4 linked regions of the Drosophila melanogaster genome follow. The protein of the gene in region 1 interacts with the protein of each later gene in a pairwise test. Each region holds a gene or a part of one and is shown on either strand. Other genes may lie near its edges. The genes, in order: CG14864, hec, Eno and crq.

Region 1 (5,285 bases):
CTAAGTAAGATTAATCAAAAGGAAAAGAGGATGCCCTTTTTTTGATTAACAACTTAATTGTAAGGTTTATTACATATAATAAAAGCATAAAAAATAACACAAACTTTGGAGAAAGAGAAAATATAAATGTAGACGAGAAGACTGAACTTTTTACTTATCCTACGGCAGATCGACAATGTACCTAAAACAAGATTAGTTGGAAATGCACAAGTAACAAGTCTTACACAAGAGATTAACAGCTGCCAATCCATAATATTATCCTAAGTGTTCTAAGTTTAAAAAGCGGCACATTTTCTCACAGCGCTGAAACGATTTCTCAACGAAAAGATGTCTAATCCTCATCTGAAAAGGCGCGAAGAAAATAGGTCAGCAATGTCGAAAGGGAAATGCAAATCACATAATGCTACGCACCAGAAAGATAAAAGTTTATGATGCACATGGTCGCAAAGCCGGCGAGCACAGTTGCAAACTGTGCAAATCCCGCCCAGCGTCGCGTTGAGTTCGAGTGCCAGCGCGCCTTCTCGCGCGGTATCACCTCGCAGACGGTGACGTAGAAGAGTGTGCCTCCGGCCAGAGCTTGGACGATAGGCAGAGTTTTGCTGGACCAAGCGGCGGGCACGTCCACGATAAGCATGCCCAGGCCAATGCCAATGACGGCGCCCAGGGCAAACACCGAAATGCCGACGAACTGGGCGCGAAAACTCGTCTGCGGATTCGAGCGGAACTCGAGCCCCAGACAAAAGCCCATCACGAACTTGTGGCAGGCGACGGCCCCTAGAAGAAACAGAACCTACGACGAGACAAAGCAGATTCCGGTTATCTAATTGGACTAAGCCCTCGCATCTCTTTGCTTCAATATTTGCCTAAGATTGCGCACTATAGCCGATCTAGTCTAACTATGTCAAGGCAGGCGGCACAGACCTTTGTGGAAGAGTTCTGAACGCCGATGGCGAGTCCTTCGATGGCCGAGTGCAGTGACAGGGCGACAAAGAGACCCAGAGTGCCTGTCATGGATTGGGCGCAGGGTTCCGTGTGGCTGGTGTGGCAGATGCGGGCGTTGGCGTCCTCTACACTGGCATCATTACAGCCAGATGCGCTGGCCGGGTGATTGTGGTCATGATCGCTGCGTAATCGAAGCACAAAGCAATTAGTTTTGGCTGCGGGAAGGGAAATGCAATAAACCTACTGGCTATGATGGTGCGAATGCCCATGTGACGTATTGGGTTCCGCTGATAAAAGGGGCGCTCGTTCGTCCACTGCGCCATAACCATTGTCATTAGTGGGACGTCTTGGTGGCTCGGTTGCTGGAGTCTCTGCATCGTGGGCATGAGTGTGCTGAATGGCCTCGCCAAAGAAGTAGTGTATGAACTCGTCGATAAAGTAGATGATGAAGAACCCGCCGCACATGGCAACCTCAGCGAATTTCGAGTCCATTTGTTCGCGCACCTGTTGCATGCGTAAGTCAGCAGGTTATCAAATTGCAGCCACACACACGATCGCAGTCCAAGCTCTTACCTCGGGCAGAATGTGCACCAGTGCGGTGGCTAGCAGAATGCCCGCTCCGAAGCACAGGAGCAGGGATGCGGTCAGCGGGAAGCGGCGACGATTCCGTTCCGATATAAAGGCGGGCAGCAATCCGAACAAAAGACTCCCGAGTCCGAGGACCAGCATAGCCAGCACTTTTTCCAAGTCGCCGCGACTCGTGGCAGCCAGGGTGGGGCTTGGGGTGATCTCCATGTTTAGACCGTCGGTTGGCAAGCTCATTGTATCAACTGCCAGACTGTGTCATCAAGAAGGGGGCCAGTAAAACACACAAAAGTTCGTTGCATTTACTATTTTTAAACTAAACAGTTGCGAAGTGTGTGCAGCTGCTTTCGTGCGAAATACCAAAACGCCTTACAATGGGGGGGCCACAGAAAAGTAAGGCATTTCAGCAGTGCGCCTTTCAGATCACACTCATTTAAACGGTTTTTTTTTTTTTTAATTTTATTTAAACATTTAAATCTAGAACTATTCTTTTACCAACCACCACCATTAAGAATTTCAATAAAAGAAGGTAGGCACCCTCTCCAATTATAGTTTTGCACTTCGACAAATGCTCCTGTAGTTAAAATTCAAAATTTTACCGTTTCCGTCCTGGTTGTCCGTTGGAAAATGCATCGTCGTTGTATAATCTGTGGCCAGGAGCCGGGCGAGCAGTGCGTCTACCCGCGCAACATGTCGGAGGCTCGCCGGTGGCAGAACTTGGCCAACCTCAGCAGTTTTGACGTCGACCCCGAATCGCTATGCCGGCACGGATGCGTTTGCGCCTCCCATTTGGATGGCCACGGATCAGGTTCGGAATCGGAGAGCTCGTCTCGTGCTGCTGGCAGGGCAAGGACTCAAGCTGGCCTGCAGGAATGGAGCAGGTGGAGCTCTTCGGCATCGGACGCTGGCCATGGCTATTCCATCAGCAAAAAGACTAACGAGCGGATCCAGAACCAAAGCAAACAGAGTCTCGGCTCGGAGAGGCAGGAATTCAGCAGCGCGAACAGATGTACGAATGGTTGCTGTCGTTTTCGAAACACCTGCAACAGCATGTTCCAGGGCAATACATACACCCAAATGGGACAGAAGTATCCCAATCCACAAACAAGGGCCACAAACTTAGAGAACAAAAATAATCCACCTATGAAATTAAGCCCAAGGGTAAATAAACCGACCTTTGGAGCTGTAAACTGCACCTGTGATGGATGCACCTGTAGTTTCTGTCCAGTGCAAGGGATCAAAAAAGCGGTAGCCCCTCTAGAAGAGGATTCAGGCAGCCAACAAAGTATAAATAAAGAGTATAAAGAAAGAAAGGATAATTCCAAAGGCAGCCCAAAAAAACAGAGTTCCTGTGAACGTCTCACTTGTCCAGCTTTCAGGACAACGGACATAAAAACTGTAGCAGATGATTTCCGCAGTAGCCCGAACTACCCGGTATCGCCAACTTCACGAGGTAACAACAAAATTAAAAGTTCGATGAACCAGCAGAATACGAAGAAAAAGCCGGAGCTGAAGAGCGAATGCTGCCAGACGTGCATCACCCAGCAATTGAAGGATCAGGAAGTGCAGTGCTCAACGGTGACGCTGCAGACTCAGAGCTCTTCGCCTGTTAGGCGAACCAAGATGACCGGCTCGTTCAGCCATCAAACTGGAAGCTCAGCGACAGGTTTATCTGGCGGATACACCAATAATTCGAATAACTTTACTTGTGGCGGCGGCGAGAGAAGAACTTCAAATGCAATCAACGTGCTGCTTATGAACGGCACCCGGAATAATGACTATGAAGATGGGTGCTGCTCTCCGGCGAAGCAACGTCCCATGGCGCCGCCTCCAGAGATTTGCGTTCAAGAGTCCGATCTGACCGAAAATGATGAGCGAGCTGTGTTCCCGGAAATCGACAAGCCCAATTACAGAGTTTGTCGATCCTCGAACGAGACCAATGTTCTGGTCCTGGAGGAGAGTCCTTTGAATGATTGCAGCCCCAACCCAGGGCAGGATGCGAGTACACTAGATAGCAAGACGAAGAGTAATTTTGATGCTCAACAAAACGCCAACGATAATAAAGAGCAACATAATAGTTTTCTAATCAACTGGCTTGAGTCCCCGGCCACGAGTAACTTCACCAAGGTTCTGGAACTGCAGAGATCTCGCATCAAGGAGCTGGAGAATCTGCTGGAGCAGCACAGCCTTCTGCAGCAGACAATCCAGCACAAGGTTGCGGAGCTGCAGTGCACAGATATACCGGATCCTAAAAATATATCTAAATCATAAACCAAATCTAGTGCGCATATCTCTGAATAAATTTTGTTGGTTTTCAAAGGGTGAAGAGTGTTTTATTCGCTATTACCGCTTGAATTCCAATACCAAACTTTCAGTTTGACCATCTAAATCAAGAGCAAATCCTTAAGAGTCTAGGCAGCGGTCTGGATGACATCGGTGTAGAGCTTGACCTTAGTGGCAATGCTCATGTCGACGTACTTGTCGCCAATGGAAACGATCAGGCCACCAATGATGCTGGGGTCCACGCGGGAAGTGATCTTCAGAGACTCGTTGCCCTTCAGGAAAGACTGCAAAGCAAATGAGCAATAAATTGAGTGGGTGAGACAAGACAGAAGCTAGGCGTAGCTACCTTAAGGGCACCCTCCAGCTGCTTGCTCTGGGACGCATCCAAGGGCTTGGCGGTGACCACCTCGCAGACGACCTCACCGCGATGTGCGGCCATGATGGTCTTGTAGGCATTGATCACGGTGTCCAGCTTCTTTAGACGTCCGTTGTCAGCCAGCAGACCCAACAGATTGACGGTGGCCGGGGCGAAGCGGAGCTTCTCGGATGCCTCCTTCAGAGCGGTGGCCATGACCTTCTTGTTGATGATGGGGCTGGTCACGTACTCGCGCAGCTTCTTGTCGCTACGGATGGTGGCCTGCAGGGCCGTCAGATCCTTCTCCACCTGATCCAACTGGCTCAACTTGGAGGCAGCCGAATACAGGGCGGTAGCATAGCGACCCTCCAGACCGAACACCTGCACTGGTGGCTTCACCGTCGCCTGGGCGGCAGCGGAGCTGAGGGTGCGGCTCTGCGGGATAAGCAAACAAGAGCACTTGGTAAGTTTTTCGGCTTATTAAACATAAACTACCCGCGGTTCGTGGGTTAAGATGGGCAAAAATTACATAACCAAGAAACGCGCGTTAGATAATTCTACATATGCGACAGCGGGTTGCAAACGCAATAAAAATTTGACATGCACTTAAAATGGCTTGGCATTGACCGGAGCTTGTTCACTTTTTTCTATTTATTCGCATTATAACATACCAAAAGTGCCAATTTGTTAATAGAGGCCATCGTTTTTATCCCGACAATTTTTCAGCTAAAAATCTCAGCTGTGACCAGGGCTACGTTACTTGCTACTCGACGTGTGGCAGGGTTGTTTTGAATGGCGTAAGGGTTGCAGGACAGTTATCGATTACAAAAAATAGCTAGATTTTAAGATTTATACTAGCTAGTTAAATAAAAGCGAATTTTCATTTTAAAAATGATATTCTGACTTTAAAGTAATTCTTAAAGGATATATTAAAAGATAGGTATTTCTGGGTACCCAAAATCTACCTTAATAGTAACACCTCTAATTTGCTATTAAATAATTAATTAATTAATAAATATTAATTAATAAAGTAATAAATTATTTTATAAACATCGAATTGAATACTTTGGTAATTCTTTACTTACATAAAAAGACACGGCTTGAGATTCGATTTACGTCT
Region 2 (8,819 bases), on another chromosome or scaffold:
ATAAAAAATATAACAGGAACATTTTAAATAATTGAAATCAGTATGCATTTTAACAAAATTAAGTTATAAAAAAAAATATTTTGCTATCATGAAATAAGTGTGCCGGACTGGTCTTCAAAATCTTTGCTCGGCGATGCGGTCAATGTTACGATCGACCCTCGCGCGGTACGCCTTAAACGCCCAACTCTCGGCTGGGCGTGGTCGTGGCCATCTGTCCAGTATTACTCCCGGCCGGCGGCGGGGTCACTAAACTGGGCAGCAACTTGTTCAGCAGCGTGCGAATGGCAAAGGTGACATCGTGATTGGCGAAGCAGAACAGGAAGGAGACCACAAAGCCCTGCAGGCTGACCAACACCACCGATAGCATCTGATAGAAGTGGTCCAGCTGGGTGCCGGCATCCGGACGGTAGGGCAGCAGGAAGTGTTGCAGTCCGAACAGCGGTACCAGAATAATGGTGGCCCGAACCGCCTTCCGGATGGCCAACGGTGCCGGCTGGGCGGACTGGGGATGTAACTTTCGCACGATCACTCGCAGTACGTTGATCAGAAAAACTGTTGGGTAAAATGCATATAGCTGAGCAATATTGTACTTTTAAAGAAAATTATGCATATTACTAAAGCTGGCCAGCAGCGAAAGAGTTATGGGCACCGAGAAGATCCACAAGTAGAGACTGTCAGTTATCCAGCAGCTGCAATAATGTGAAAAGAAATGTTACCATGGATATAGCGTAGAATGTAATCTCTTAATAAATGCAATGCAAAAACCAAATCAATCAGGATTATGTCTTGTGTAAAATTGTGAAAATAACTTACTGCTTATTGTCCGGACTACTGAAATGCCTGGCCAGACCGTAGACGATGGCTATGGGTATGGGTGAAAACCAGCTGATGACAATAAACCAGCGCATCACAATCGTGTCCTTGACAAAGACCTGGCGAATGGAAAGAAGAAGGGGCGTCAGGATCTGAACGGACATTCCTGACATCTCAACTTGACGCAGACGTAAAGCAGTTGGCCAACGTTGCGATTTGCTCTCAGACAAATTGCTGGGGGTGAACCATTGCCATGTCAGCGGCTGCAGGAAATCACATCTGCCATGCACAGAAGTCGCCCATAAAGAATGCAGACTTGTGCAGGCAATTGCCAGATTGCCAGACGAGTAAGGATAACTCACCACAACGAGCACCAGGTGCAGGTGCAGGCCCTCGCAAAACATCCAGAAATAGTTGACCAACATAAAGTAGTGCACCACCAGATGCAGCCCAATGCACCACAGCTGAAAGTTAGTTATGTTTATGGTTTTGTATAATTGCCTAGCTACTTGTAGGGCTATGTTATTTTCATAGTTACTTTTCTCAGTGCATCTTACCGGATTTTCGGCTATGGTTTCGGAACGCTCCACCACCAGACGATACCATAATATCCAGGCCACACAGGTGCAGGCCAGCGAGGCGAACAGATGTACATGGATGCGGATGCGGGTGCAGCGCAGGGATCTGCAAACGGAATGGAACGGAACGGAAAGAAACGAAAAGGGATATCCGGCCGTCAGTTACCGGAGGGAAAGGAACCGTGTGGGTCGTAGACAAACACTTACTTGAAGCCCAAGAAAATAATAATCGATATGAGCAGGGCCAGCAGGGAGAGGGCATAACCCTTCACGTACAGCTCGTTGATGAACTGGCGAAACTGCAGTGGCAACTTTCTTGATTAATGCCCATGTACCACCCGCTTGATGCCGCCGAAGCACTTACCTCCAGGTCCTCATAGTCCACGCAGTTGGTGTAATTGGACCAGGTCTGATTGCTAACCGGATGACGGTACCAGGAGCCGTTCTCCAGGCAGCTATGAATGCGAAATGCTTACGATAATTGTGACTGGCTAAGTGCGGACTGATGGGTAAAGGGGGTATTTCTAACAAAGCGCCTGACAATGCACAAGTTACCCAACTTTACCAGGAGCCAGCTGAGCTCAGTTGGCGTGTAAAGTGAGATGAACGCTATCCATTAAATTGGAGATACATACATGTAGTGCAAGTTTTAGAGTGCTGCTACAGTACACTTAGGGAGATTATCTCTGCAAGAGTTGAAGAAGGTTTTATTTTTCTTTCATTTTCCATCATCTTTTTCTGAGATATGCTGCGAGTTTATGTAATAGACACGAATGTAAACTCTATAGGATTTTCCCTGTTTGTAGCGCACTCATACATAAACATTGTATTTTATGACACACAGAACACATTAAAGCAAATGCCGAATATGGCAAGATATTTTCGAATTTATGCTCAAACGAATATTACATATTGCAGAGCTTATTTGACCATGCGAAATCCTGAACGGAATGAAAATCTATCCTATTCGTGGTGGCGTAATATACAGGCATATTGGGCATTTAACTCACGTCTTGTGGGCCAGAAATTTTCTGTTGAATCCTTCGACGAAATCGGGACAATATTGACTCAGCACAGTGCCGGCCGGAGTCCTTGGCCAGCAGAGATATCCGTCAAAGTTCAGGGGGCAAAAGAGTCGGTTCTCCTTCTGATTTGTGGCCATCGTGGCACTGACGACGGTGGCCATCAGCTCCTCCTTCTCCGCCAGCTCCTCGTCCACGTTTCGCATGTCAATAACGCCCTCGTTCATCGCGGCATTCTCCAGATATCGCGGCACTGGGCTAAAGTTCTCCGGCAAATCGGAATCGTAGTCTGTGCACGGCGACAAGTGCCATTAAAATGGGTTTACTTTTTAATGTATAAAAATATAGCATTTTTAATAATAGTATCTATGGGCTGCATAACTGAAAGTGATGTAATTCAGTTTTCAAGTTCAATTCAATTGCATGCTTGCTTTACATATGTAAAATAAAGTGGTATTTCAAATGTACATAACTTGCTTAAGATAGTTAATAGATCATCGTTCTTTATAGCAGGGTATAATTCATAAATTCTGGTTGAAAATATATGTACATTTGGTAAAGGTGTTGAGTGCTATTTAAATTTATAAATTTGTCCTGAGATGCCAATGATTTGCATTGAAACGAAAACCCATGTTTAAATTTGCATCCCCAAGAAGTAAGTCAATGATTTTGTATATATTTAAATACATTACTTTGAAATGCATTAAATGAAATCAGATGGGCTGTAATTTAATTTAATTCTCTTCTCTTTCTTATCTGTCTTATGCCTCTGCTATTTTTTCGCGGCAAATCACGTATACGCCTGTTGGCCGCCACTCACCTGTTGCTGGGCCAAGTGAAAATGATGGGTCGTCCGTATCGTATGTGACATTCTGGTATCGGAACACGCACTCCGCATACAAATGCTTTAAAAATATGCGCAGATTATCCTGCGTTTGGGCCTGCGATGCCACATCCACATTTTGCGACTCCGAATCTGAAGAGGTTGTCGCCATTGTGGGTTATTCAACGTGACTAACTCTTGTCAACGGCTAATGCACTAAAAAAAAATATAATAATATAAATATAATTCAAAGAATTACGGGATAAATAGGATAATCAACTGCAATAATTTATCAGAGGCAATTTGAAAGGTTTTAAACAAGTGTTGCTTACCCATAGAAACTTGTATGAGCTAGTTTTTAAAATTTATTCTGATTTAAATATATTTTCTTATATTTAACATTAGTTCTCACTGTATTTCGCCATAGCGAAGCGAACTTGAGTCCCTTGTGGCCGTCCATTCGTGTGTGCATTTCTAATTTGGTTAGGCTTCAAAGAGTTGCCTGAGTTGGGTTGATATTTGTTGTGGGGTCCTGTCTGCGGGGAAATGGTGCCAAAGGAAATGGAATATCCACACGGGGCACACACACACACTCAAAATATCGAAGCACCTGAGTGTCGTGTGAGCCGAGTCACCTACTCGTCTCTCATATGTTGTAAATCAGTTTATTGTCTAATTAATGGCGGTGCTTAACTGTGTCGCTATTTCTGCTACCGTGGTTGGGCGAACTTAATTGCATTTCGTCGCACAGAGAGACAAAGCAAATGCCACGGGTTAAAAACTCAAATGAAATGCACTTTGATCGTGGGGGCACACAAACACACAAACACATAAACACACTCACACACCCGCACCGAACACGTGGCCCAAAAGGCGGGATGAGCTGCAAAGTTCTTGCCTAACTTGGTTATATTTTTAATCAAAACTCATTTCACTTGATTGAGTTTCGACAGAAGCCTGCACCAGGCACTGGAAAATCTAGCATGCACGATACATACAAAGTAAGATGATTTTCCCGCTCCCAAGCTAAACTTTAATTTGCGGCATTAATTTATTACACCGAACTGGGACAGTTTCCCATGATGGATATGACGCCTGGCTAAACATTCTTGCATGTTATATATATTTTTGCAAGTGTCTCGGCCAGGCAATTAGCCGCAGGTAAGCGGAGCATGACGATGGAAGGACCAAGGACTAGAGCGCCCTTTGTTGGCCATCAATTCAAATGGCTGTCTTGAAGCACTAATGAGCATTAATTGCATTCACATTCCCCCTCCTTTGAATTAAATCCATTGCAGAATTCCCGCTTTATCATTTGCTATGAGGCAAATTACACTTTAAGTGGCACTACGCTTATTCAACAGATTCCATTTCTCACGCTAGTTAAATGCGTATAAAGAAATACCGACTACAAATATGTTTTTACTAAAACAATTATGGCTCATCTAATAGCACAAAAAGTTAAGTATATTTTTTTTAGAATATTTCGCAATTACTTTTCGCTGTTAGTTAAAGAAGCATTTTGCAAGCAAGCTGCTCTCAGCAATAGTGAGAAAATGTAGCACTGACTAAACTAGACAACATTTTTACTTTTACTACTTTTTTACTTTTACTACAGCCAGTTCTAAACAATTTTAAATTAGATAAACTACTTTGCCCAACTATAAAATTTCCCTTGCCGTTTTGTTTTAACGACTACTGACTTGGCGAAAAAAAAAGTATGCAGGGAAATTACAAGAAAATCTGAAGCGCGCTGTGTGGCCAAGATTTTGCTCCACAAAACTAAGGAAATGCTTCAAGGAATACGCAAGCATCTGCAACATTTTTGGCAAATTGTTTTGTTTTGCATAGTTTTTGATGCTGAATACTTGGGGAGGAATAGCAGCCATAGGAATGGGGGAGCACTCATTTTGGAGCATTCATAAAACACAAATAATTTGAAAACGTTTGCTTGCATAAATTATGCACGATATTGAAATTTATTGTCAACAATGGGTGGCGAAAGAGAAAGGACTTATTTTTCTTTTGTTTTTTTGGCGACAGGACCGCCCGCTGCAAAAGATACAAATGGCCAATCAATAGGGGTGGGAGCAAAAAGCTGCCAGAGGAATAATTATATGTACACATGCTGAATATTGATGATGAATTGTTTTGTCTAGCAGCCTAGCACAAAAAAAAATAAAGAGAAATAAAATTAATAGAGGCGGTGGGAAAAGCCGTCAATGCGGTTAATGATGCTAGCGCCATTTGCAGGCCGGAAACGGAAATGCCACGCAAACCGACTAGCACACAAACACACACACACACACACACATAAACCAGGACACGCACTCGAAATGAAAGCGGACATGCGAAATAATGCCACATTATTCGGCCATTCTTGGCGGATCAATTATAATAACAAATTACTTCATCCACATCGCCTGGGTCACCAAATGCAATTACGCACGCCGGACTGGCCACGAATCATCATCCGGAATTCCAATCCCCCGGACGGATCTACTGGGCATAAAAGTTGCCAACCTTGCGAATTATAACACTCATTTCCTTATTTCCTGCCAATCACTGCCGTATTTTCCCTGTGTAGCGCAAAAACTTTTCGCATAAAACAACCGCAAATAGGATGGGGCTTGAAATCGAATTATTTATTTGTACTGTGTACGCAAATATTTAATTCGATTGTTTACTTAATTAAATGCTCGAAAATGAAGTCTCATGCGGCGCAGTAATTATGCTAATTATTTACTGAAATATTTTTTGTTCAAATATGTTTCAAAATTATATTCACCTGATATTCGCATAAAAGGTGTCGAGAATTTACGCAAAAACAGGTGCCAACAGATCACTTACATGGGGCCCCACAGTCAATTGAATTCATTCAATTGTTTGCCACTGCCATTCATTGAAAACTTAAACAATTGATTCGGTTTCAGTTCACCGCTCGTCACGTACAGCAACAGCACACAAAAACACAAAAAAAAAAAAATATATATTAGAAACACGGACAAAAAATGCGCTTTATGTTATCGGTATTCAAAATTGGCTGCTCCACTCCGATTTTCGCACCGCTCTGCTCCGCGTGCCGCTGGCAAATGGTACGGCATCCGGCAAAAACCGCCTGCCGATGTGGCTGGCAGTTTCCTCATATTTTCCCCATTTTCCCCATTTTCACGCCCATACACCATACTGGCACACTGAAGGAAATGTACGAAAAAAGAGAAAGTGAGAAAGTGGGTATTTGCATTAAAAAATATATATTTAAACTACAAATGTCAAAAGTATCTTCATCTTAATTTAAGTTCTAGCACACTTCTTCTAATAATATTTGGCATTAAAAGTGAGAATACATTATCGATTTTATTTGAATAGTGTAGAACTTATACTTTCTTTCAGTGTACGAGTACTGCTTTGCCGAACACTGCTTGCCAGCAACAAGTTGTCGGCGCACTGCTTCTATGCCTTTGTGAATTGCTTGTCGTGGGCGTGTATAACAGTTTTCTAGGTGGGCGTGGCGCACACAGCTGGGACCCACAAATTCCTAAGGACTTCGAATTTTGTTAAAGAAATTTATTTAACCCAACTGGGTCTATCCAATTAAAAATATATATTTATTGGCTTACTTTAATCGTGTTTTTATAAGGATAGAAGTAATAATAATATTTTAATATAATATTTTATTAATTTAATAAAATAATTAAAAAATCTATAGAAACCAATAAATTTAATTTTTAACTCGTTTATCATCAATACAATCTGTATATAATAAAACGACCTGATAGCAATTCTTTAGCAATAACAATTGGGCAAACAAAGGGTTAAGACTTCTCAAGTACAAGGATACTGGTGTTTGTTTCACTTTGAAACTGCAGTTAAAAGCATTTGATGCGATTGCAATGCAACTTTATTATTATCATGCAGTAACCTTTAAGATTCAACTTTAGTGAATACTTCGTTTCAGTTCACTTCAATTCTCGATTCATGTAAAATACCTCAGCAAACTTTCATAAAATTTATTCCTGAATAGCTGATGATGTCCTGCATAGCAAGCGTGTATAAATATTTTATGCGGTTATCTGACGTTTCTTTAGACAAAATTGACATCGACTTAGGATTGATAAAGAATTCTTTACAAAATGTAAGAGAATTTCATATAAAATGTATTTCACAATTAGCAGCACACAGTGTGGTGTGAAAATTTCTGGCTTCTCAGCTCGTAAAATGGCATGCCGCCCATAAAAGTGAATTTAAGGCAAATCGCCTTTGCAATATAATTTTCTGCACATGTCCGCAAATATATGTAAGTGCACTTTACTTTTATGAATGGTCAGGAGCAAGAACGAGATTGGGTACAAGTTTACACCTTTTAATTGTTTGCTTATAACATAGTATTACTTGGTTACCTGGCTTGTACTTAAAGTTGAATCACTGTAATTGTATAAGCCAAGATTGATTAAACTTCGGCTAAACTAAGGTAACATTTGGACCTTTGTGATTAATAAGCATTGTATTAATACAAGCATGACGACATTTTTTTATGCCACTCTCTTCAAAAGAAGAGTGCAAGATTAGTTAGGTCAGGTTCTATCGACATTAATCCAGTTAGCCACGTTAAGAACAATCTGGCGCCAGTTGAGCGAGCTTAAAGTGCTAGTTGGAGAGTTTAAACAGCGGCAAAGACAACGATTTTTTTGTTAGGTAATACCATATTACTATGGCATAGTGTCACCGCACTTCGGTCGCACGTTCCGTAGTGATAAAAGCCGGGGAGACGGGGTTTTAAACATAAAAAAAAATGCTCGAGAGTGATGTAAAGACCGTAATCACATGCACGTTCCAGACCCCATTTCTCAGTCGTGTCGCTGACCCATAAAAGCGGGGATCTACATGGTCAGCGACATCAGTTCCATCGGCAACATGTTCCATCCAAGGTCTCAGTCCAGCTCCTTAGCTCTACTCCTGACATTCGTCCTGGCTTTCGTCGGCGTTAAGGGGGACTACGATTGGTATAGTGATTATTCGGGCTCTGAACTTGACTACATCTTTGCGGATGTCAACTACGATGCAGTGTGCCCACCAGGTGGTTATGCTGTCTGCGCCACCGATGGCTATAGCTACCATCCATTCTCGAGCAAGTGCCGCCTGGACTCACAGAACTTGAAACTGTTGTTTGCCGGAAAGAAGGGTAAGTTCTCAATTCATATCCTTGTTTAGGCAACTATGCTGGGATATTTTGTTAACATTCCTTTCTTGATTTTTTTTTTACAGAACTCATCCAAACTGACCTGAGCTACTGTCCCTCGTATCCCCCGCGGCCGTATGGTCCGCCAGCTCCTGCTTACGGCTATCAATCGAAGCCAGTTCAGAATTATGCTCCGGTTCGTTATTCCTCATCGTCTGGCCAGAATTCGTATGCCTATGCCGCTGCCAGTGGGCCCTATGGCGCCAAGGCGGTGGCTGAGGCTCCGGGTCCATATCCTGTGGCCTCTCCCTCCTATTCCGTCTCGTATCCCGCCGCTCCGGCTGCCTATGCCCCGCCCCCACCCAAATATCCTTCGCCGCCCTCGTCCTATCCAGTTTATGCCA
Region 3 (8,377 bases), on another chromosome or scaffold:
CCATCTTCGTTGTCTTCCCAGTTCCGGAATAGGCTCCACCGAAATGGGCGGCTACTTGGACGCGCACTTGGTTTTAACTTTGGCAAAACGCACTATATTGTTAAGGCACTTTGTGGGCGGAGGTGTGGGGGGCGGGGCCCCAGGGGGAGGGGCTCTTAGCACGCTCTCCTCTCTTCCTCTTGCCACTTTCTATTGTCCTTTGAACTTTTGGGGCTTTCGCTTGGCCGCGATTCTCCGACTTTTCGACTTGATTTTCGGCAACGGTTATGCAACTGCAGTGGTTGCAGTGCTGAGCGTTAACTTAACCTACGGTTAGCTTGCGCGCAGTTAAAGTCCGTCGGTCGGCCGGTGCACTGATTCGATTTCGAGCTCGCCGATCCCTAGCGTTTGTGATTTAGCTTTGCATTAATTTATTTTCGATCCGATGTAAAAAAACACGTCCGTGAGAGTGACCGCACTGCGACTGTGGAAGCATACCGCCGCTGCGAGGCGCCAAGAAACGACCTAAAAAATACCAACAAACTGGGGAATTCAACGGTTCTGTGCGAAACTTTGAGCGCCATTTTGGTCCACCCTAGAAATTCAATTTTATTCACAGAAAGTTGAAAAAGCTTATTGAAATACTCGACTAATTGGTGGAAAGCAAAGATAAAGATAGAAAAAAGATCGTATTCAAAGTTTAATAACTTCATTCATCAGTTCAGAGATAATGAATAATTCAGATCCATTCAATCTTAATCCAAATCCAGAAAATGTTTTAAGATAGTTGCCTTTACTTTAGTTGCCCTTACTTGAGTTTACTTGATTATCTGGCAACGCCACAAGTGATCGAAGAAAAGAATTCAGTAACTTTTATACTTTTTATTTCACATCAACTAACAAATCTGAATATGTTTAATATTTGGTGTACTATTCCATCTGATTAAGATCTCTATTGAACACCGTGTATATTCGATAAGAATATTCCAACAGCTTTCGCTTAAATTCTATGTCTCAACAATTGTTTCATAACCGTTTTTGAAGTGAATAACTTGTCTGTTTGTGGATTTGGTGTTTGTGTAGATCAATTTATAATTTCATAACGATTACAGCGATTACATTGAAGATATTCAAAGCTCTCGGCAACTGAACGAATATCTTGCACATAGTGTTTTTTATTCTTTTGTTTATAAATAATGATTAGATCAAGGTTTAGCATTAATTAATAATGTCTAAGAACGAAGCATAGAGACAGCAAATGGGTTTGGTAGTTTAATTCTGATGTATTTGTGCGCCAGACACAAGTTCCGAACGTAAAAGGTTGACGAACACGTGCACCGCCGCCTTTCCATGGATCTACTGCGTCCAGCTCCCTCTCCAAGATCCAGATCTCATTCGATGGGGCTGGTGTGGTTGGAATTTCGAAGTGCCCTGCGCTTACTGCGGCTTCCTGAACGACTTGCCGGCGAACTTGACGCCAGCGCCGATCTCCTCCTCGATGCGCAGGATCTGGTTGTACTTGGCCAGACGCTCCGAGCGGCATGGAGCTCCGGTCTTGATCTGGCCGGTGGACAGACCGACGACCAGGTCACCGATGAACGAGTCCTCGGTCTCACCGGAACGGTGGGAGACCATGGTGCCCCAGCCGTTCTTCTTGGCCAGCAGATGGGCGGCAATGGACTCGGTGACGGTGCCGATCTGGTTGACCTTCAGGAGCAGGCAGTTGCAGGCCTTCTTCTCCACGGCGGTGGCAATACGCTTGGGGTTGGTCACGGTCAGATCATCGCCCACGATCTGGATGTCGGTGCAGCCGGTCAGGTTGGACCAGGCCTCCCAGTGGTCCTGGTCAAAGGGATCCTCAATCGAGACGATGGGGAAGTCCTTAATAAACTCCTGGTACAGGTTGGCCAGCTTGTCGGCGGGCAGCCACTGCGACTTGTCGCTCTTCTCGTTCTTGAAGTCCAGATCGTACTGGCCATCCTTGTAGAACTCGGAGGCGGCCACGTCCATGCCGATCTCGATCTTGCCGGTGTATCCGGCCTTGGCGATGGCATCGCTGATCAGGTTCAGAGCCTCCTTGTTGGACTGGATGTTGGGGGCGAAGCCGCCCTCATCGCCCACAGCGGTGGCGTCCAGACCGAACTTGGCCTTGATCACATTCTTCAGGTGGTGGTACACCTCGGAGCCCATCTTCATGGCCTCTGTGAAGCTGGTGGCGCCGGTGGGCAGGATCATGAACTCCTGCATGGCCAGCTTGTTGCCGGCGTGGCTGCCGCCGTTGATCACGTTGAAAGCGGGCACCGGCAGGATGATCTCCTTGTTGCCAGCCAGATCGGCAATGTGTTTGTACAGCGGCACGCCCTTCTTGGCGGCTCCAGCCTTGGCCACGGCCAGGGAAACGCCCAGGATGGCGTTGGCTCCGAACTTGCTCTTGTTCTCGGTGCCGTCCAACTTGATCATGAAGTTGTCAATGGACGCCTGGTCAACCACATCCAGATTGGCCTTGATCAGCTCGGGTCCCAGGGTGTCGTTCACATGGCCCACGGCCTTCAGCACCGACTTGCCATGGTAGTTGGCCTTGTCGTTGTCGCGCAGCTCCAGGGCCTCGTGGACGCCAGTGGAGGCGCCGGAGGGCACGGCGGCTCGGAAGAGTCCCAGCTCGGTGGTCAGGTCGACCTCCACGGTGGGGTTGCCACGGGAGTCGTAGATTTGACGGGCCTTGATCGCTTTGATGGTCATCTCGTTGCTGTCACTGAAATCAAAAAACAAAAAACAAAGTCCACGAGGGCGAATTAGTGTCTGTTATCAGGACTTTAAATCTAGGCATGGTGTTCTATTAAATAGCTGACCGCAGATGAAGCCATTCAGATTTTATGGCGGATGTGCTCCACAATATTTGCGAAATCCCCGCCATTACTTAAATAGTTGGGCTTATTTATATTTAAAATTGTTCCAAATGGACAGTTAAATGATATGTTTCGTGATGCAGTGAAATATTCGGAAATATGTCGAAAAAGAAATACGAACTAGAAAGGAAATGGGAGATACACCTTTGACATACTTTTGGACTTGGTTCTCAAAATATGGTTAGATATTAATAAAAAATTATTTTTTTTTGCAAAGAATTGTAGCTGTGAGCATGTAAGTCACTTGCAATTTGAGCTGTGAGTGGTGTAAACTTATACATATATCCCCATTCGGGTGTGACTTTCTCCACGGTATAATCTCGAAATGCCCCTCCTGAGTTTTCTATATTTAATTTGTCTTCAAATTTCAGTTAAATATTTCTATAATAATTTAGAGTCACTGACACTGGCGGCATTTCCCGCTTTTCCGCTTATCTCAGTGGGAGAGTTTTCAGTTTGCTCTCGCCGAACAACCGAATGACCTCTAAGCTACTTTTAAAGGTCAGACCCAAAGTGAGGCGTCCAGCGAAGCCGCAGTACGTGGAAAAGTTGCGAAAAACGGAAGTATCTCCCTACAGCGATACAACAAATGCCTGTCAATTGAAATTATTAGATTTGTGCAATTAAATCGATTGGAAATATACGTAAACGAGACACTTGAAAATTTGCACAGCACCATTTGTTAGATAATCGCGCGGATATCGCTCGCAAAAAACGCTCGATTTTCAAGCCCTTTCGATTGGGGTGATCTTTGTGAAGTTCGCAGATAAAACAATTAAATATTTTCCCTAAGCTGGATGCACAAGCACACACCAAGAGTCTAGCAATATACATACCAAGTACTTTTGCGGATCTGCACAAATTTAAATCCAGATGAGAGCTGGCTGACTGCTGATTTGCTTCTGAAACGCGGCGCAACGTTTGCCGATTTATTCTGGGGAATTCTGGGGAGAGGCCAGCGCAGACGCAGAAACTTCATGCTAGTGGTGGAAGTCCTCAAGAAAACTGAAGCGGTCCAAGACATGGCTTGAATGTGTAAAAGACGGCGGCGAAAGTGCTACCAATTTGTATCTTGATAAAGGAGTAAAAAATATCATTTAAAATATATATTTTAGTTACCTTACATGAAACTATAGCTCTGTTGCAAGCTATATGATAAATTTAATATTCATAAATTTTAAAAGCTCAGCTTAGGCGATGTATTTTTGCCCATCTCTAAGTGTGGAAAAGAGAGGGACACTTACATTTACTCTCCTTTTATATGTATGCGTTTCCAGGTGCTCGCCGGTTTTCAGTGTGGGGGTGCGCTTTCCCTTTTTTGTTGTTTTCCCTGGTACGTTTCCTATATTTTTTGGGGAAAATTGACCTTCGCACAAGGTTAGAGTAATCGGGATCCACACGTAGCTGTGGATTGCATGTCTATCTACATAATAATAAATGCTCTCGTTAATAAAGCATAAACAATCAAATGGCGTCAAGAGAAGTGTAACAACCAATGATAATGAAATGTTCCCGTGGTTTCTGGACAATCGGGTCATTCAAAGTCACATACTTGTGGTTAGTCACGCTTTTTAGCTGCCATAAATTAGAACAAATAAATGCAAAGCGGATTTTAACAAATCGTACGATTATGCTTATAGCAGCACAGCTGATCGGGAAAAAATTGCATATGTGTTGGTTAACATTGCCGCCCACACGCTGTTAGCTCTTTAAAACTTTCTTTGCATTTTTAAGATCATTCAGTAATATAGAACAATTACAATTTGACTAAATATAATTTTTCTGTTACTTTTTTAAGTTCATCTTAATAATTAAAATCGTAAGCATTTTGAAAATAATAAAATAAGAAGGGGCAAAAATAATTTGAATATTTATGTTCTTTACAACTACTGTTAAATTTAACTTTAAGACCAGGGCTGACAATGGCAGTGTTGGAAAGTCCTCGACTTGACCATATGTTTTGAAAGACACACGCGGATTTTTTGTTTGGAGTTTTCAAATCGTAAAAGCAACATTAAAATGAGCGCGACCAGCACAATAGTTATGCCCGGTGAGCGAATTGCGGCCATTGAGGAGCTGGCCAAGAGCAAGCGGGTGATACTCGGACCGGGACTGCGGCGTCTGGATGACACGGTGGTGGCTAGCAAGGCGGGCCCACTTCGACACAAGGAACCCGGCACCTTCTGGGTGGACAACTACCAGAGAAGGTACATCCCGGCACGCGGGGATCTCATTCTGGGCATTGTGCGAGCCAAGGCGGGCGATCTGTACCGCGTGGACATCGGAGCAACGGACACAGCCTCCATATCGTATCTCGCCTTTGAGGCGGCCAGCAAGAAGAATCGCCCGGATCTGATCCCCGGTGATCTGATTTACGCGAGAGTCCTGAATGCAAGCGCGGACATTGAACCGGAGCTGGTCTGCGTCAACTCGGTGGGCAAAAGTGGCAAACTGGGCGTCCTCACCGATGGATTCTTCTTCAAGTGCAGCCTGAATCTGGGAAGGATGCTGCTGCGGGAAAACTGCCCTGTTCTCGCCGCTCTTACCCGGGAACTGCCCTACGAGATCGCTGTGGGAGTCAACGGCAGGATATGGTTGAAGGCCCATTCCCTGAAAGAAACCGTGGCCCTCGCCAATGCCATTTCAGCGCTGGAGCAATCGGGATGTGCGGAAATCGACAAAATATGTGGCAATCTCGGAGACTTCCTGCAGGCCTAGGATTAGTTCTTAGTTTACTTACTTTTATATAAAAAGAAATGGTTAGCCAAACTGATGGGGTTGAATTTTGATGTGAATGTTGGCGCAAAGGCAGTGTGTTGGAAGCCCTGATTCGTTTACGTAAAAAAACTATCAGAGATGAGCAGATGGAAGCGTTTTTCGTATCTTGGATTATGCTCTACATGTTCTCTCAAGAAAGATAGTACTACCCTTACCTAGCTACCAAAAGGTATTTAAATAATATAGCATCATTCAAAAACCAAGTATAAGGGTTTTATGTCAGATAAGGTGACTACTTTCCGCAGTCACTGCGTCACCTCTGGTGCCCACCAACAGCTGATCGATCAGACCCGCTCGCAGTGATTTCTGTGTGGCCAAGAACAGGTTTCAGTGCCTTCCGTTGCGGCAGAGGACAAAGGTTTCTCCGACCCAGCCGTGCCATACAGAGCCAACGAGATGAGCTTCCTGGAGTTTCTGCTGCTCCTGCTCGTGCTGTACTATGTCGTGTACGTGCTCCTCTGGATCCTGCTCGACTGCAATGTGGCCCTGTGGTACAAGTCCCGTTTCGGAGTCTCGCTGTCGTCGATGCGCGGACAGGTGGTTTGGATAACTGGTGCCTCGAGCGGAATTGGCCGCGCTTTGGCGCTCAGCTTGGCCAGGCATGGAGTGAAATTGGTGCTAAGTGCCCGGCGACTGGAGCAATTGGAGCAAGTGCAAGAGGAATGCCTAGCTGCAGCTCGCGGACTGCTGGCCACCAAGGACGTGCTGGTCATTCAAATGGACATGCTCGATCTCGACGAGCATAAGACGCATCTCAACACGGTGCTCAATCACTTTCATCGACTGGATGTCCTTGTCAATAATGCTGGCCGATCCCAGCGAGCCAGTTGGACCGAAGTCGAGATCGAGGTGGACCGGGAGCTGTTCGAACTGGATGTCTTTGCGGTGGTCCACCTCAGCCGCCTGGTGGTGCGCTATTTCGTGGAGCAGAACGGCGGTAGAGGACACATCGCTGCCACCTCCAGCATCGCCGGCTTCAGTCCAGTGCCATTTTCACCCACCTACTGTGCCGCCAAGCACGCCCTTAACGCCTACTTGCTCTCCCTGAAAGTGGAGATGCGCAAGCTGGATGTGTCGCTCTTCGCACCGGGACCCATAGCCACCGATTTCCTGCAGGAGGCCTTCACTGGCTCGCAGGGCGGAAAGGTGGGTCTGAGTACGGCCAATCAGAAACGGATGACGGCCCAGAGATGTGGCGATCTGTTCGCCGTTGCCTTGGCCAATAAGATGGATCTCACCTGGTGCGGCCTCTTTCCCGTCAACCTCTTGGCCTACTGCGCCCGGAATCCCACGCTGAGCAAGATTCTGGCTCAATTGATGACCGAGAAGACGCTGAACAAGATTCGCGAGGGCAAACTGTGAGAACAACCCCGGTGTGCCTCGCCCCTTCCCTATTCCTGCTCCAAACGGCTCTCAGTCATCTTTTATACTGTTGTATAATTCTTAACTATATACTAAAATATATAAATATGTGCACAAGATTAAGTTGAGTGTGCGTTTCAATCGCGATAATCTTCACAGGCACAGTGGGATTCTACAGTTCCTCCCATTCAATTGGTGAGCAATATTGTGGTAAGCTAATAATCAATTAAGATTTATGAATTCTAAAATATTCTAGTTAACTTAAGTCATTAACCAGTAATTTAGTAATCTATCATCTGGTTCAGATGCATAGATTTTTTTGCCATTATAGAAGAGGGCATATTACACTCAGGTGGCTAGTTAAAGCAGCTCCTCCCACATTATAATGATTTGTCAAGACTGCAGATTACCTTGCATTATCTTATATTTATCTACTTGATCAACCATTCTAATCTAATCTTTTCCTAGCGCTGCCTTGACGTGCGCTGGGATCTTGACTCGTTTTCGTTTCGCCTTGGTTATTGCGGTCTGCTCAACTCCTTTGAGCTGTTGCTTCGCCTTGTCCTTTTTGCTCTTCTTGCAGGACAATGGATTGGGGTTCTTGGGCCCTTTGTGCTTCTTGGGTTTGACTGCAGTTTCAGCTGGCTTCAGTCCCTGCTTCTCCTTCATGTAGTCGATTTTCTCGACCTGTTTGCCCAGCATTAGGTTTTTGGCCCGTCGTTGCACCCACTTCTTGGAGGCTTTAGATGGTGCTTCCAAGACGGGAGTGGCTTTGTGCAGATAGAGCAGACAACGTCCGGGAATCTTGCGAAGACTCTCCTGCAGCAGACGATCTTGCGAGGCAACCACATAGCGATTGTCTTTGGTCTGAAAGGCAAGTAATCATTTTATGGCTATAGCATACTTGAAATCAAGTAACTCTCAATTTACCATCGATTTGATGCATTCGGAAGCGGGGACTGGTTTTCCTTCGTGTCCGCATTTGTGGACATGGAATCGCTTGACGATGGATGTGGCTCCAGTGAGAGGAGCACCCAGGGATTCCGACTCCAGAATAACACACTGGGTGGTCAGTAGCTTAACGCCGCACTGGAAGTACTTTTTAATCTGCTCATCTATGCCAATCTTTTGCTAAAAGTAAAAATTAACTATGGATATCAACAAGTGCTAGAGATGATATAAGCAATAACCCACCTGAAGGGCTGCTTGGCAAAAGGTGGCATCAATTAGCACTTGGTAGGGTTCCCGGTAGTCGAAATTGCTGGCAAAAAACACCAGAGTTTTGTGCGACTTCTTAAAACGAGATATTTTCATGATATTTGCGGGTGGGTAGTCACCAAGTTTTATCAAGT
Region 4 (8,111 bases), on another chromosome or scaffold:
ACAACAGCATTTTGGCCCAGCTGCAGGCTTCAATGGTAGCCCAGTCTCATGCCCAGGCACAGGCCCAAGCGCTAGACATTGCGCTTCTTCGGGAGAAGAGCAAGCATCTAGATCTGCCGCTGATCTCGGCGCTCTGCAACGATCGCTCCTTGCTGAAACAGACTAAGGTTGTTATAAATCCGAAGACTGGCCAGGAGATGCCCACTTCCAGTGCGCAACCTTCAGGTGCCACCACAAATGGAGTTGCCAACTCCTCTGCAGGAGCAGGAACCCTAAGCAAGGCCAGAAAAGGATCTACCGTAAGCCACCGTCATCCGCAGGACAAACTGCCGCCTTTACCTGTCCAACAATTGGCGGAGGCCAACAACTACGTGATCGATCCCGCTGTCATGATGAAGCAACAGCAGCAGCAGCAGCAGCACAACAAGACCAGCTAGACTCGACAAGCTAATTGGAAACCGGAACGGAAGTGGACATTGGGGGTCCAATACGACACTCTTCTCTCTAGTTCGATTGCTGTTCGAAGTGCTGATGTATGAGTGTGCCCAGGTGAAGAGCTAATTCTGCGTTCGGAAATTTGCATAGATCGGGTGGTGTAGCGTTATATAAATTCGATCACAGTGTTTCGAAGGGTAAAGATTCGCCGGGCACAAAAGGGTAAATGTAAACGAAAACCCACCGTGAGAAACCATTTGTCAGAACAGCAGAAACAATAGCTATTTAGTAGGAACTAACATGCATTTAACTAGCGAAGACAGTTTTTTAGAAAAACACAAACTAGCAGGTCCACCAACTTCAGATGGTAAAATACACGAGCCACTGAAACAACTGAATATCACAGAGTCAATACTTAAGCCTACAGGACGTGAGCAACGTAACCTCAAAATACACATTCAAATAATCAGAACCCAGTCTAGTCACTTAAGGGAATTGGTAACGTAACCACAGCACAGACCACAACATGACACAACATCGGAAATAGAGAGGAAGCTTATCAAAATGGGAAGCAACAATACTCAAGTATAAAATACGACCACTACCTAATTTACTAAACTACATCGTAGATCTTTAGTCTTAGCTGCAAATACTTAGTTAGGCCAGAAATGCGAATACTTAAAACTAACTACTTCCGCCCAAACAACTGTGATTGATTTTTATTTAAACTTATACTAAATTTATAACTATTTTAGTCACCAAGAACAACGCAACATATACTATGCAAATTTTTTAGTACGTAGCAACGTCGCTCTTTATACACACACACACATACTCACAACGAATCGGGCCAGCGGTAGAATCAAGTGAAAAGCATTCAAATCGGCTATGAAATGGTTTGAAATGGGTTTGCTTGCTCCGATCGCTGGACGAAGGGAACTAAAGAATTTCAAGAGTGCCTAGACTTGCCCTCCATCCCCACCATAGTAATAAGCGAGAGATGATTATCATTTATTTTTTGTATCCACTTTGTTTATTATTTTTTGTTCGATTAATAATCCCCCACTGTTTTTTTGGATGTGTTAGTGTGCGTGCAAAAATTAATTTGAGTTTTTGATGGATGTCACAAATATTTGCGTAGATTTTTCTCGACTAAAAGTCTATGGCTAAATTGAGGAATGTGATCTTTGAGAAAATGTAAAATTTTTGCCATATATCTTACATATACACCAATATATATACATATATATAAATAAATATATATACGTATACAATTATTTTTATTTATTAATTTACAAAACAACATTTGAATAATGCATTTATAAAGCAAATCGTTAAAGCATCCAACAATCGTATACGATAAGTAAAAGTCCTGCAGAAAAGCATACAGAAATTGTAAAAAACTATCTTTTCAAAATAAATGAAAATTCAAATAAAAACGTTAAAATAAAATGCACGGAGTGTTTTAGTTGTATGAAGTATTGTTTATCAAGTACGATAACTTAAGTCTCAAACAGAAAGTTTCAACTTGTGAATGATTCGTGTAATATGCAGATAGAGTAAGGTTTTTTTTTTAGAGTTAGAGTAGTTTTTAGTTTTTTTTTTAGAGTAGGTTTTGCTATCACAAACTGCAAGACGAACGTCGATTCGTATCACTTACATATTACATAACGCATAACTGACAAAGAACAGCATTTGACGGGCGACTATCAGAATGAACTAGGAGAGTTAACAATTCCTGGCACTTTGGCAAAGCTTAAAAACTATTTTGCTCTAGTTGGTAAGTATGTCCTCATCCTCGGGAGTTCGCCGCACCCACTTTTTCGTCACAGTCAGCGTGATGCCGGTGATGAGAAAGACACTGGCAAAAGCTATCATGGAATAGCCGAATATGATTCCGTAACTGGACAAATTAATGGCCAACTGAAATGGAAAGTATGGCACTTAAATGAAAGACATTTCAAATATGGATTAGGTCTTACCTTGGCCTTCGATGCCAATTCGGAGGAGAGCTCTGCATACTGATCGAACCAGAACATGGGCATTAAAACCTTTTGCACTCCACGATATATGCTGCAAATAAAATTTACTTTATGACTTACATTTTCCTTGAGACCTTTGCTTTTATGTACGTAATTGTATGAATCGTATGAGTAGTTTTTATCCATGAACTTTTACTTTACTTACTCGAAGTCGTCATCGGGCTCAATCATCATATTAATCTGGATGCGTCCATGCACTTGGACAGGCACTCCAGTAATCGGTTCCACGGCTAGGAAGAACTCGTGCTTCTCCTTCTCCGGCTTCATTCCACTGACAGCATCAACATACGACTGATCCGCTAGGTAAAAGTGAGGGAAGGAGGAGTAAATGGGTGCTTTGTCTCGGCACGCCTTGCACTCCACGACACCGGTCTTGGGACATTCATCAAATCGCGCCTCATCACAGAAGCACGCCTGGTTAGGGTAGTTTTCTCCGGAGTCCAGAGTCTCCTCGGTGCCTACCCACTTAGTGGCGGTCAGGCCGTGATTCTCGTATGTGCCCCGGGGCCGGAGGTTCATAAATCTGCAAGCATCGGTGGCAAAAATCGTAATCTCATCGTTTACATTCATCTTTGGCGGGAACATGTCGCCCGTGGTTCCATTAACAATGCCACAAGGCATCTCGTAAAATCCAGTTTCTGATTTTCCATTCCAGTGGGTAAGTCTACCCAGATTAGATATATCGTCAGTGCCCGTGTGAATAGTAAACAAGCCATCGTAAGTCAGCGACTCATTGCGGTCCGCCAGCCACCCGAAGCGTTTGTAGGGTATGTCGATCTTTGTGGTGTTGAACAGGTTTAGGAAATCGGTAATGTTATCCTGGTAACCCTCGAAGATCCATTCGCCCACCGGCTTGGTTACGTACAACTTTCCGCCTTCATGGTTCAGCATAAAGTTTATGATTTTTTTGACGATCTTGCGCTGGTCTCGCATCTCATCCGCTACCGTGGCGGTAATGGCATGGGCAGCAGTCACCATGTCGTCCAATGTGCCATTGGATCTCTCCGGATCAAAGAACCATGTGCGGCGCTCATAATATGCCACCGTTGCATTATCGTAAAACGTATAGTTCTCCTTCTTGTGCTTTTCCAGGAAGGTGTACGGACCCATTTCCACGAAGTTTGGCTTAATGTCCGGGTTCCTTATGTCCTCGGGATTCGTCCAATTGAACATGTAAAAGCTCAGGTAAATGGGGATAGGTGCCTCCAGCCAGCTTTCATAGGCATCAGTCCCGGGCTTGAGGGTAAGGCCCTGGGTAAAGATTAAGTTCATTTTAGTATGTCGAAATGAAAATCTTTTTTTTTTTTAGTTATCGTTCGGTAAACATATTTCCCTGAACCTGTAATACGCAATCTCGGACGGCTAAATATACTTACATCCTCTACAAGGTTATCTGCAATACCCGGCCAGAAGACCACGATTAGTATTCCCAGCAAAAGGAAAACCGATCCCAAGCCGAAGACCCAGACCTTTCGTTGAGTTTCCCCGCAGCACTTGCAGCACATGGTGGATACGTAGGATTCCAAAGGTTCACGCTTTTAAGGAATAGCCAAGGTGGGAATAATCCAGCCCTAGGCAGTTAGTTGCATCTGGAAGTGAAGACAGTTTGTGGGGTTATTTTTCCTTGTATAATCAATGTCCATAATCCGTATCGAATTTTTATTAGTTTATTTCCCGGTACACCCATCCTGGCACCCTGCAGAGTTGGTAATTTTGAAAATAATAAGACCAAGGCTTATCGCCGGCTGGTCCCTGCTTAAGTATTCGATAAGCATCGGCGATTATAAGTGTATATTTTTGAATATATTTTGCAGTCCATGACAGTTGGAGAAGATTACGTGGGACAGCCCACTTATCCGCACAGTCAACTTCAAGTGCAGACATCCGCAGATCTATTCAGTTTTCTAGCACTTGCCACTGTTTAGGTCGCCTAAACTTACTAGTTTTCAATCAAAGGGGATCGAAAATATTCCGGCCTTAGCACAATCGGAACTATCAAAACCGTACGCGTCCCCTGGCAGGGCGAAACTGGTGGCCAGCGGTCTACTGTGTGTCTTTTAATGGGTTCACTTGACGTTCAATTACCACTCGGTTCGTTTATTAATCTCTGGACTTTGCTAGTCGGGAATATTTGCTTGATTGGCATTAACTTGGATGCGTTTGGAGAAACACAAAAAAGAGATCACTCTACTCGAATTCCTCGACTTTCAGTTACTCGTAACTCAGGTAGCTGGCTGCCACAAAATTTTAATATTTTGGTATTCAGAGTGGGTATGTTGCAAATATTTGTAGCATAGCGATAGAAATGAAAATCTTATCTTTCTAACATTTATAGTTCGCGAGATCAAAGCGTTCATGCGAAGGCGGATGGCTAGATCGACTCGGGTGGTTATTCTGATCGAGTGAGTAGGTTTTATGGCAGATTGATTTACAATAGTTAAAATTCCTTTTAATATTATAAACATTTATAATTATGGTAATTTCATGCCTAGATGTTATTTATGTCCATGCTTGTCTGCAATTCAAATTCATTCAAGTCTAAGATAGTGTTTAGTATCGTTATCTGGGTAATACCCGCATTTCTCGGCTATTTGCTTCTGTGGTTGGTTGGTCAAGATGTTCTCACAAGGGGTTCCTATTTATGGCACTGATAAGATTAGCTTTGTGGAGATACTGATAATTCGGTCGAAATATGCTTTACTATACCATATCAGCCTTGATCCGTCCTGTAATCCAAAGTTCTTTTAATGCAATAGGAACGGGGCCTGTTTTTATCGTAAGTCTGGTGCATATCGTATTGCAATTTCGATTCCCTGCTTTGTTTCCTCCCGTCGACTGACTCAGTCTTGTTTTTGTCGGATTATTGGGCTGGCTCTATACTACAATGAATATTTCTTTGTTTAACGACTGATAACAGGCAAAAAAGGGGGTCTGGAACTACAGTAGAGCCTTTTGAGCTTGTACGAGTCCCAGTAGGATAACTCGAGAATTCATGTTAACTGTTTAAGGCGAATTAATATTAATAATAATTGATTAATATTAAATGGTTTTTAAAATAGTTTGTTGTAAACTGCATTGTGTATGCACTATATATGTTTACTGCATGTTGTCTCTCTTTTGAGGGCGATAGCTTGCATCCCGTGAAATGTTTGCTTTCTGGTTGAACTTAAACCTCGATCAACTTGCGCTTAAAGTGTTGACATCACCAGTTGCGAATTAGGCGTACAGTTATATTCACGTATTATTGCACATTACCGGCTGCATAATTAAAGTGATGAATTACTCACCTTTTATCTCACACACAACTACGTCTTTTAGCATTAGCTTCTGATGGCTCTGTTATTGTTTTGCTTTGGCCTTGACATTTATTATGCCATAGTTCGGAGTAAATTTATTTTTCTGGGACTTCCCGCTTCGATGATCGCTTAGTCCCTTTACCTTTGGTGCCTGGAATCGCAAAAGTACCGTACGAAAGGGATTCAAATTGTCAGACTTCCCTTCTTATTACTTTTACAGCTAAACTCAAGCGTGGGAAGCGCCTTTGGAATTGATCTGAAAGCTGCTATCCAACTAAAAAAAAGGCACTTTCGCGTTGCCGAAGAGGGCAAGCAGAGAAAGATAAACTGCAAACTTGCAGTTTGCTGGGCTAAATTGGATTAAACAATTTATTTCTTTATCTTCGCTGGGCGAGTGTGACCAGAAGCGTTTATATGCGCTGTAACAGCACTGTAAGCAACGTTGCCACAGTTTTTGGATTGACTGTAATGCGAAACAGCTGTTCTGTTAGAGAAGTGGTGACAACCCTAACGACAGTGCCAACCAATCAGCGCAGACCACGACTCACACACACAAACAAAGCTGCCAGCGGCGACAACTACAATTTTTTTACACTTTTGCCAGCATTTAAAATCGTATTTCGAATCAGCTGGTTAAAAAGAATGAATTGCTGAATCAAACAGGATCAAAAACGAAATGCAGCTTATCAAGTGCTTGGTTATAATTCAGCTGTCCCTCTTGCTGGTGGAGGAGTCATTTGCCGGCCGGGACTTCTACAAAATACTGAACGTAAAGAAAAACGCCAACACGAACGAAGTGAAGAAGGCGTATCGCCGTTTGGCCAAGGAGCTGCATCCGGATAAGAACAAGGACGACCCGGATGCCTCCACAAAGTTCCAGGACCTGGGAGCGGCCTACGAAGTCCTCTCCAATCCGGACAAACGGAAGACCTACGACCGCTGCGGCGAGGAATGCCTCAAGAAGGAGGGCATGATGGATCACGGTGGTGATCCGTTCTCTAGCTTCTTTGGGGACTTCGGCTTTCACTTCGGTGGTGATGGCCAGCAGCAAGATGCTCCGCGAGGCGCCGATATCGTAATGGACTTGTACGTTTCCCTGGAGGAGCTATACTCCGGAAACTTTGTGGAAATTGTGAGGAACAAGCCTGTAACGAAACCCGCCTCAGGCACCAGGAAATGCAACTGCCGCCAGGAGATGGTCACCCGGAACCTTGGACCCGGGCGCTTCCAGATGATCCAACAGACGGTGTGCGACGAGTGTCCCAACGTGAAGCTAGTCAACGAGGAGCGCACATTGGAGATCGAGGTGGAACAGGGCATGGTCGACGGCCAAGAGACGAGGTTCGTGGCCGAGGGGGAGCCACATATCGATGGGGAGCCCGGCGACCTCATTGTGCGGGTTCAACAAATGCCGCATCCGCGATTCCTGCGCAAGAATGATGATCTGTACACGAACGTGACCATCAGTCTGCAGGATGCCCTTGTCGGCTTCTCCATGGAGATCAAGCACCTTGATGGACACCTGGTGCCCGTCACGAGAGAGAAGGTAACGTGGCCCGGCGCTAGAATCCGCAAGAAGGGCGAGGGCATGCCCAACTTTGAGAACAACAACCTCACCGGCAACCTGTACATCACCTTCGATGTGGAGTTCCCCAAGAAGGATCTTACGGAGGAGGACAAGGAAGGTTAGCATATACATTATCACAAGAGTAATTGTTTCATTAATAAACGTTTCTAATTCTAGCGCTCAAGAAAATACTCGACCAATCCTCCATCAATCGCATATACAATGGACTGTGAATACCCATGTTTCATCCCCAATAAAAGTGCTCGCCGGCTGTACTCTAGTTTTTAAATGCCTAACTAACAGGGCGACTTTGATTTGGGAACGCCCCTAATTCAAGAGATGACTTTGTTCAAAAAAGTTGTGCGAAAACAATTTAATTTTAGTTTAGAATTTTGTAAAATAGCAAAAGTGTAATGAGAGGGAACTATTAAGGCGGTTCCTGCCGACAAAAAGGAATTGCAACAAAAACCAACCCCCACAAAATAAAGCGGATTTAAATTATATACAACTTTGCGGAAGCTACTATTTTTGATTTACTGTTTTTAAAAGGGATTTTTTGATTGTCTCAGAAATAATTTAATTTGAAAACTATTATATTAAGACAATCGATAGGCTGCATTATTGCAACCTTGGCTCAGCTGTCGATAACTGGCGCAGGAATCCGCAAGAAGGGCGAGGGCATGCCCAACTTTGAGAACAACAACCTCACCGGCAACCTGTACATCACCTTCGATGTGGAGTTCCCCAAGAAGGATCTTACGGAGGAGGACA

What was found.
Region 2: the proteins of CG14864 (region 1) and hec interact in a two-hybrid assay, tested with the Drosophila melanogaster proteins (one large-scale study listed by BioGRID).
Region 3: the proteins of CG14864 (region 1) and Eno interact in a two-hybrid assay, tested with the Drosophila melanogaster proteins (one large-scale study listed by BioGRID).
Region 4: the proteins of CG14864 (region 1) and crq interact in a two-hybrid assay, tested with the Drosophila melanogaster proteins (one large-scale study listed by BioGRID).

Annotation. Positions count from the first base shown.
Region 1 is NT_033777.3:15,265,242-15,270,526, reverse strand, and holds CG14864 (uncharacterized protein), read left to right. Parts: upstream 1-2,097; 5' UTR 2,098-2,154; coding exon 2,155-3,798; 3' UTR 3,799-3,843; downstream 3,844-5,285. Other genes in the region: Zip88E (Zinc/iron regulated transporter-related protein 88E), read right to left, coding at 332-342, 412-790, 922-1,123, 1,187-1,446, 1,516-1,764; ATPsynO (ATP synthase, oligomycin sensitivity conferring protein), read right to left, coding at 3,939-4,094, 4,157-4,600, 4,837-4,866.
Region 2 is NC_004354.4:12,951,132-12,959,950, forward strand, and holds the start of hec (hector), read right to left. Parts: upstream 6,332-8,819; 5' UTR 6,087-6,331; intron 3,453-6,086; 5' UTR 3,409-3,452; coding exon 3,234-3,408; intron 2,703-3,233; coding exon 2,402-2,702; intron 1,847-2,401; coding exon 1,756-1,846; intron 1,691-1,755; coding exon 1,599-1,690; intron 1,498-1,598; coding exon 1,371-1,497; intron 1,278-1,370; coding exon 1,176-1,277; intron 933-1,175; coding exon 814-932; intron 690-813; coding exon 616-689; intron 553-615; coding exon 173-552; 3' UTR 1-172. Other genes in the region: CG32642 (uncharacterized protein), read left to right, coding at 8,151-8,418, 8,502-8,819.
Region 3 is NT_033779.5:1,723,925-1,732,301, forward strand, and holds Eno (enolase), read right to left. Parts: upstream 5,713-8,377; 5' UTR 5,604-5,712; coding exon of another isoform or gene 4,905-5,603; exon of another isoform or gene 4,808-4,904; intron 4,540-4,807; exon of another isoform or gene 4,379-4,539; intron 4,309-4,378; 5' UTR 4,130-4,308; intron 3,957-4,129; 5' UTR 3,910-3,956; coding exon 3,722-3,909; exon of another isoform or gene 2,829-3,721; intron 2,732-2,828; coding exon 1,417-2,731; 3' UTR 844-1,416; downstream 1-843. Other genes in the region: Rim2 (replication in mitochondria 2), read right to left, coding at 1-4; Rrp40 (ribosomal RNA processing 40), read left to right, coding at 4,905-5,603; CG31937 (uncharacterized protein), read left to right, coding at 6,060-7,025; CG17652 (uncharacterized protein), read right to left, coding at 7,479-7,892, 7,956-8,156, 8,220-8,339. UniProt on the Drosophila melanogaster protein: Enzyme of the glycolytic pathway. Glycolysis is essential in glial cells but not in neurons; neurons rely on the citric acid cycle for their energy needs, and on lactate and alanine secreted into the hemolymph by glial cells to fuel it.
Region 4 is NT_033779.5:446,813-454,923, forward strand, and holds crq (croquemort), read right to left. Parts: upstream 6,213-8,111; 5' UTR 5,765-6,212; intron 4,491-5,764; exon of another isoform or gene 4,418-4,490; intron 4,067-4,417; 5' UTR 3,983-4,066; coding exon 3,854-3,982; intron 3,729-3,853; coding exon 2,623-3,728; intron 2,509-2,622; coding exon 2,418-2,508; intron 2,359-2,417; coding exon 2,209-2,358; 3' UTR 1,442-2,208; downstream 1-1,441. Other genes in the region: ex (expanded), read left to right, coding at 1-437; shv (shriveled), read left to right, coding at 6,450-7,458, 7,518-7,573.